2 linked regions of the Tribolium castaneum genome follow. The protein of the gene in region 2 interacts with the protein of the main gene of each other region in a biochemical or structural test. Links are inferred from orthologs where the notes say so. Each region holds a gene or a part of one and is shown on either strand. Other genes may lie near its edges. The genes, in order: TGF-beta-activated kinase 1 and MAP3K7-binding protein 1 and mitogen-activated protein kinase kinase kinase 7.

Region 1 (3,924 bases), on a different chromosome or scaffold from region 2:
ATTAACCGACAACAAACTTACGTAACAAGTATTAAAAAATTTAAACCAAAGAGACTTAAATAAATTCAATGTCTGACGCTATTATCTGTGTCAAATCGTGACTTTGGATTCAATACCAGTTCTAATACACGTGGAAAGCTATTCAATCGGTTTTTTATTGTTCCTTTTCTATTAGAAAAACACAACAATAGCTTCCAATCAATGAAAGAACGAGGAAAACAGATAAACGAACGTAATTTATTAACGTGTGATTAAAGATAAGGGTGTTTTGATGAAATATCGATTCGTGTTAGCAAAGTAACGGTGTTATTATTGTGAGAAAAACACAAGTGGAGGGCTTCGTTATGAACTGTGCCACATGCAAGGAGAATTAACCACAAAAAATGCCTGGCTTACAAAAACGTTCCGGAAAAAACCTCAATAAACAATATTATCTCTGGATCGGTTCATTGACTTTATTACTGTGTAAAATATAACATTACAACTATCCACCACGGATTGCGAACGAGTTTATTATTAACGTTCTAAATTTAATAGGTGGACAAGAATGTCTGGATTGTGCGGTTCCGGGACATCAAACCAGACCTTGAGAACGTAAGGGGCCAACCGAGGCCGCCACCAAAAACAATGCTAATGCTAATACGAATAATTTCGTCGTAATAAGGCCATAATTGGGGCTATTTTCCAATCAAATCGCGCCTTTTTCTGGAGGTGAAATCAAGCGAGCTTACCTGACTTGGACACGATTTATGGCATCGTAAACGAAGAGAATTTATTGGGTTTGCTAAAATTTAACGAAATTTAGTAAACATAACGGTATTTTTACTGCAATTTCTAGTGAAACGTCACAAATGTCACAATAACACAATCACAACAAAAAAAGTGGGTCGGGTTTGGGGAAAACAGGCTGGACACACGAAATTCAATGTCACTGGTGATATAATTTGCTGGAACTAGACCAAGTTATGGTAATCCCCTTATTAATATTACATCGTTAAAAGTGAAAAAATACAGTTACACTCTCGAATTGTATGTTTGGAGTAAATACGAAGTGTTATTTAATTTATGCCGTCCGGTCACGTGGTATCTACACCAGAAGTGTTGCCAACAGTGGTTATTGCCATTTTTTAGGTTATGTATTTGTCAAAAATATATGAAGCCTCTAAAGCCAACCGAGACAATTTACAAGAGCCAAGGGACATGGACCGACGCATTGACAGTGTGCAAAAACGCCGGAATTGGATATTCCACCAACCAGATCTACCGCGAGGACGGCAACCCCCAGGAGGACCACCCGTATGAAGACTGCAGCTGCCACTACGAGTTCAACAACGGCACCTGCTGGTACGCGGTCTTCGACGGGCACGAGGGCCAGAAAGCCCCGCATTTCTCGTCGCAGCTGACCGCCGAAATCTACTTCTCTCAACTGACCGAGAAGAAGACTGACGATGAAGTGAGGGAGATCCTGAGACAGGCGTTCATTTCGGTCGAAACGGGGTATATGCAGTCGATTGGCGACCTGCTGGCTGACAGATTAAGGCTGCAGGATGACTTACCCGAAGGCTCGAACTCGTACGAGGCCTATCAGAAGGCGCCCCATGTCGTTGAGAGTATTAAACGGATCAATTGTGAGCTGTCGTCAGGGGCCGCCGCTGCCGTCGCTTTGATTCACAACAATAAGTTATATGTGGCTAATGTCGGAAATTGTCGCGTATTGTTATGCAAAACTGATGCAAATTCGGTGTTGAAAGTCGTCCAGTTGAGTGTCGACCACGATTTGAAGAACGAGGACGAGTTGCTGAGGCTGGCGCAGATTGGGATCAATCGGGAGTATTTGAGGAATTGTAAGTTGGAATTCTAGCCATAAAGCAATAAAATAGTTATTACACCACAAGTTTAAAAAAGCGTTAAATAGGGTTCTTATTTTTCTAAAATAAATTTTTCGTCGCGACTACGGAGGACTGTAGATTAGGAGACGAAATGAGATACAAAGTAGGATTTTCTCTAGTCCGGCGAAGTAAAAATGAGGGCGCTTCGAGCGTTAAACCGTCTCGGTGCAAATCGTTTTAAATTAATTTAAATTCAATCAATTCACTCATTGGAAAGAAAAAATGCAGAAATGTTGAGCTTTGCATTCTTAATAGGCAGAAAAAATGACTAAAATTTTCACGGGAACCAAGAGACAAAAATTTATGTTAATAATACTAACAGAGTATTTTACACACCTTAAAATATTTTATTCTTCGACACTGTCAAAATTTACGGTTTTTCTCCTGTGTAAGGAAGTTTTGACAACTGTTTGGCATTTCTCAGTACGAAACGTCAGATTATTTTTAACAAATTTAAAGCAGTTTTAAGCCTTGCTGAGTCTATTTCGAAGAATAAAATGTTGTATTCAACTCGTTTTTGTGTAAATCGGTTCATTTATTTCGCCTCGTGGATGATAAACCACTCGTTTTCACTCGTGGTTTAAAAATCCACTCGTGAGATAAAGCGTCCGATTTACACTCAAACTCATTAAATAAATAACTATACTTAGATTTCGGTTGGTATTACATAGACAAAATATTACTAAAATCATTCTGAATATAATCCTCAAACGGATAAAAGTTTTGGAAAACTGAAATAGTGCTTAAGGTTTTTGTGGAGGAAAATTTCTTTTTAGAAAGACATAAAATTTAATTGTATAATAGTTAGTTTCATGTCGGGCTTTTGTTTGCCTTAGATTATTTAAGGAAAAATAATTTCCTCTTGTACAATAATTTATTATGATTAGAACCTAGAAGAGAATATTCACTGCTGTGCTTGGAAAAATATTTCGAGACCTTTAAGGATACACTAAACTGTCTTTATTGCCTATTTTGTTTCACAGTTCTTCTTGAAATTATTTGATATTATACATTACGTATATTTACACTTCTGTTTCCCTTCCCAATTTTTTTTCTTGCACCCGTCACTTCTTTCATACATTTTTTCCTCTTGACTCCACACACTCTGACAAACAATGTTTATTTAAAAATATATAAACTAGAAAGTGTGAGAATTGGTAATATTTTTTTATATAGCTTTCAATAAAATGTTTGCCCTGACTTTGAGTGGTATGATTAAAAAAGTATTTGATTTTACTTCAAGTAAATAATTCACGTCGTAGTTTTACTTCAAATAAATATTACCTAACGTAGCATTTACTTCACAGTATACTTGAAGTAAGTAGTATAAGTAAATACTTCAGACTCCTTTATGTACTTTGGTATATAGAGGACAATACTATGGAAACTAGGTAAACAATAGAATATCGTACTTTAATAATTTCTGTTAAGTTACGAGTAAGCTCCATGATCTTCTTTTTAGAATTAGTTCTTTTAAAACACTTAATTATTTCTTTACTTTCAAAATAAAAGTTTTAACTACTATTACGTATTATTATGAAATATTTAATACTTATTCCAGTATTAGTACTTTAACAAACTCTGTAAAATAAGATACTTATTAACTTATGTATTCTTCTATTCTACAAAGTTTTAGAAATAAACCTTTATCCATTTGCTTGTAAATGGAATTTTCCAAAATTGTCGTTACTTAATAGAACAAAATTAATAGAACATTTGAATCAAATTAAAGTTAATTAATTAACAAAATCTCTATGACGGAAATCTTGTCATAAGGTTATTTAATAACGTATTCATCAGTTGCCACATTATTGGCAAGTTGGAGTCATTTTTCTTAAATATAGTTACAACAATGGGACTAACTAGAGTTAGAAGTAGGACAGCATTTTGAAGACATTAATTTGTTTTGGTTGTGAAAATTTAGGAAGATAAAAAAAATAATATTACTAATCAAATTACTGACCCATTTCCATTTTCTAAACTACCATATCGCCTACAAGGAGGCAATGTATGTAAATTTTGGAACCTAATGAAT
Region 2 (3,924 bases):
CGTGTCGATTGTTTATGTTCGGGGGCCACTCGAAAAACTACGCGAGACTACCAGCCGCTGGAAAGAAACTGGCAACGGCCGCATGGGTGCGACTGAAATAGCGATACGGGGAAGACGCCAGGGACAGAGCAAGGCGCTGCCAGCGACGGACTGCCCAAAACTTTCGTCCCAACGTTTTTTGAAAAATATGGGGCAAAAGTTTGATTTTTTTTAAATATAGTTTACAACAAAAATTTTGCACCATGTCCTACAACCATGAATAAGTGCGCTCTCTGGCGACGAGAACGTTTTATTCGTCCATCGTTTCGCATCCTAACTTTTAGTCGTCCGTAGTCCCAAGCCAAAATTTGGAATTGTTTCTGCGGAAATGGCCTTAGGCAAGGCCTCAAAGCGCGTAAAACCTGCAAATAGCCGCCTTTTCCGCATTTCGGAGGCCGGTGGTGAATTGGGGCCAGGCCGTCCCTGGCAGGCCGATCAAGAAACTTCCAACTAAACAAACTACTCTAAATCGGTCTCGCTGAGTCAGCGCGTCTAAAAACAGATGCCCCTTCGTTTCGCACGTATTTAGGAGGAGGAACCGGAATTTCGGCCAAATCGAGCTTAAAGCGCCGGACCTGCACGACTTTAAGGTCGCAAAGCGATAAAAATACCGCGACGAAGCCGTGCAGACAAGTCGACTCGGCTTTGATCTTATTTTTATTGGTCCGTGTGTGACTAACACTGCGACAAATAAAAATTATAGCCCCTCGAGTGTTTTCAAGAATTGCAAGTTGTTGAGTCATGCACTAAGCCAATGCTCTCGGCTAAATTTACAACGAGCCCACAAGAACAACACAACCTACCGTTTTTTGGTACCATCTTATCAAGGCCGGGCATGGTTCTCAGCTGCATGTCGAGATCGTGTAAATCCCATGCGTCCTGCAACAAACGACTCAATTAATCAATTTTACTCATTTTCTATTAAAAGACAATTACGTCATGCGACGTAAAAACCGACTTACAGGGCTTATTTTAATGTTGAGGGGCCGCGACATCTCGGCACTCGGCTGGGGCAGCGATTTGACACAATTATCGCCGTTGGTGCTGGCGGGGAACTGGTCTATTTCCTCCACACAGTCCTCAAACTCTTCGATTTCCTCCTTGTAAACCACATCGTCACCGCCCCTGATCTGCAACGGCTCGTCGGCGCCCGGAAGCAACGAGCAAATAACTTCCATTTTTTTCACAATCTGGAAGCCAAACTTTGACTTTCCCCACTCAAAAAATAGTGCACTCACCTCCTTCATGCTCGGCCGCTTGGCCGCCTCCTGATCCCAGCACTGTGTCATCAGTTTTTCGATGACTGGGGGGCAGTGCCTGATGAGAGGGGGCCTCCGGCCGCTGTGCTTCGCCCACAAGATCATGAAAGCCGAAGGGTAGCCCGACTCCTTAATGTGGAAAAAAGGCTTAAGTCGCGATAACACCTCCCAGAGGATTATGCCCCAGCTGAAGACGTCGCACTTTTCCGTATAGTTTGACGTTTCAAAGACCTCGGGGGCCATCCACGCGGCCGAGCCTTTGTTGTTGGTCATGATTGCTGTCATGTCTGTGGCAGTACCAAAGTCGCATATCTTTAGCAAGGTGCCCCCGTTTATCAGGAGCAAGTTGGGCGGTTTGAGGTCTCTGTGTATCAAAGGTTTGGGTTTCATGCCATGGAGATACTCGACCCCCTGGAAAACCGAGTTAAGAGTGTGTCGGTGCGGCTTCGCCCCTTACTTTGGCGCACTGGTAGAGCCAGGACATGGCGTTGGCCATCGTGTAGTGTACGTTAGGTGCGTGGTGTAGAATATTGAAGAGGGAGCCCCCTTCGGCGTACTCCATCACAAGGCAGATGTTGGGGCCCTTGGTGCAGGCCCCGTACAGCTTGACAATGTTCTCATGCTTGACCCTTGACAGCTGCCGGACTTCCACAATAAAGGCGTCTTTGTCGTTCTCAGAGACGATGTTTTTGACCGCCACGAACGCATCGCGCCAGATTCCCTTGTAAACGACTCCAAAGCTGCCCTCACCGACTGCCTGAAACCACAATGTGTCGGTGGCCACAACCAGGGCTACTTTACCTCAAGCTTCTGAATTTCATTGTAGTTGATTTCCTCGACGGTGTACTGACATACGCTACCCTCATTTTCCGAAGACGCCATCGAAATACCGAAGTAATCACATATTTGGCCACAGAGCGTCCAGACAGCCCCAAAATTACGAAAAATCTCGATAAATATCAACCACCATAAATTTGGTTATGTATCCTTCAGATCAAGTGTCACCTTCGGCTCGAAAATCCCCAGCCGTGTTCAAAACTCGGCGCGAGTGTCAATCATGTCGAGCGAACGGGATTTACACAAACGGGGGCACCAGGGCTTCAAGAAGCGAGTCGAGAGTGACGTGATGAGCAGTGTGGGCAAGAAAGTCCTAGAGAAGAAATTCTTCGTTGCCGTTTACTCCCGGAACATTCCTGAGATAACAAAGTGTTTGAGTAAAGGAGTAAACCCGAACATTCGCTCCACGGAGTACGGTGTCACCCCTTTGCATTTACTCGCCGAACGGAACGACTACATCCTGGGGTACCGCCTTTTGGAGTATAAAAAATTTGACGTGGATGTGCGGAACGCCCACGGTTACACTGCCCTGCATGTTACCTGCTTATGCGACTGCAAAAAATTTGCCCTTCTTTTGCTGGAACACGGAGCCGACCCCAATATTTACGGCCGGTTTAATAAAACAGCCCTGCATTTATCCGTACAGAATGAGAATTACGGTATTACGATAAAGTTGCTAAAATTCGGGGCTGAGGTCAATGTTGTTGACTGCTTTGGCAATACGCCCCTCTCTTTGAGCATCCTAGACACCAATAATTACCTAATTGCCAAAACCTTGTTCCAAAGTGGGGCCAATATGAGCGTCGAGCACCAAAGACCACTCCATATTTTTTTTGGTACTTGATCATCCAAACGAAAAAAGTATTATTAAAATTTGCAGAAATGGTGTTGTATTGCCGCTGCATTCGTCAGATTGATTTGGTGCTGCTCTTGTTGGAGAACGGGGTTAATATTAATATGAGGGAGCCCGACTCAGGGCGCAATTGTCTCCACTTTGTTGCGGTGACCGGTTTTCTGGAACTGGCGGTGGTTTTGGTCGAAAAGGGGGCTAAAATCCACGTTGTGGATAGCTGTAAGCGCAGCCCCATTAAAGTGGCTGTGGACCACGGTAACGAAGTGATCGCCGATTACTTCCGCAAGGGCTACAGACCCCCGCCTTTGCTCACCGCCCTCCCGAAGATCTTCCAGTGGTCTAGCAAGGTCCGGGCGCGAATCAGCGAGCGGAAGCTGGCGGAGATGGAGAAAGAGGCCGAATTGAAACAAAAATAAACAGATCATTATGCACAATTTATTAATATTACGGAATACAACATTCAATAAATATATTGTAAATATTATACTGACTGACTTTTTGAGAGTTAAAACATATAAACATCAATAAACTAGTAACACAGATAGACTTTAAACGATTCAAAAACGCGATATGAGCTCGGGTTTAGTCTAAAAACTTATTACAAAACTAGCCGATGGTAAAGGGGAACATTAGGCTCGCGTTGATTGCTCAAGAGTTGGCTCAGCGTGTAGTAGTCGTTCTTGTTGGGGCCGTTCAAGTAGCGCAGTTCTCTGGTGGGGTCGTTGCGCTTTTTGGCCACCATGAAGCGCTTCTTCCTGCTGTCGGCGAAGCCGCCCCATCGGCCGCGCTTCTCGTCCATGAGGTAGCTGGGGGCGAGGTCGTTGTGGCCGGTGGCGTGGGGGTACACGGGGGCGTCCAGCCAGTTCTCCTCCTCCTCGAGGTTGTCGCCGCTCGGCTCGGGCTCCAGGCCCCAGGGGCGGTAGCCGTTGCGCTCGT

Evidence for each region.
Region 1: of the proteins of mitogen-activated protein kinase kinase kinase 7 (region 2) and TGF-beta-activated kinase 1 and MAP3K7-binding protein 1, one has a biochemical effect on the other in vitro, tested with the Homo sapiens proteins (4 studies listed by BioGRID and IntAct). The link is inferred for Tribolium castaneum from reciprocal best matches to the Homo sapiens genes MAP3K7 and TAB1.

Annotation. Positions count from the first base shown.
Region 1 is NC_087395.1:17,239,057-17,242,980, reverse strand, and holds the start of TGF-beta-activated kinase 1 and MAP3K7-binding protein 1, read left to right. Parts: upstream 1-1,153; coding exon 1,154-1,844; intron 1,845-3,924. UniProt on the Homo sapiens protein: Key adapter protein that plays an essential role in JNK and NF-kappa-B activation and proinflammatory cytokines production in response to stimulation with TLRs and cytokines.
Region 2 is NC_087399.1:3,650,623-3,654,546, reverse strand, and holds the start of mitogen-activated protein kinase kinase kinase 7, read right to left. Parts: upstream 2,314-3,924; 5' UTR 2,181-2,313; coding exon 2,100-2,180; intron 2,056-2,099; coding exon 1,756-2,055; intron 1,710-1,755; coding exon 1,278-1,709; intron 1,230-1,277; coding exon 1,002-1,229; intron 919-1,001; coding exon 843-918; intron 1-842. Other genes in the region: putative ankyrin repeat protein RF_0381, read left to right, coding at 2,356-2,971, 3,016-3,404; prohormone-2, read right to left, coding at 3,587-3,924. UniProt on the Homo sapiens protein: Serine/threonine kinase which acts as an essential component of the MAP kinase signal transduction pathway. Plays an important role in the cascades of cellular responses evoked by changes in the environment.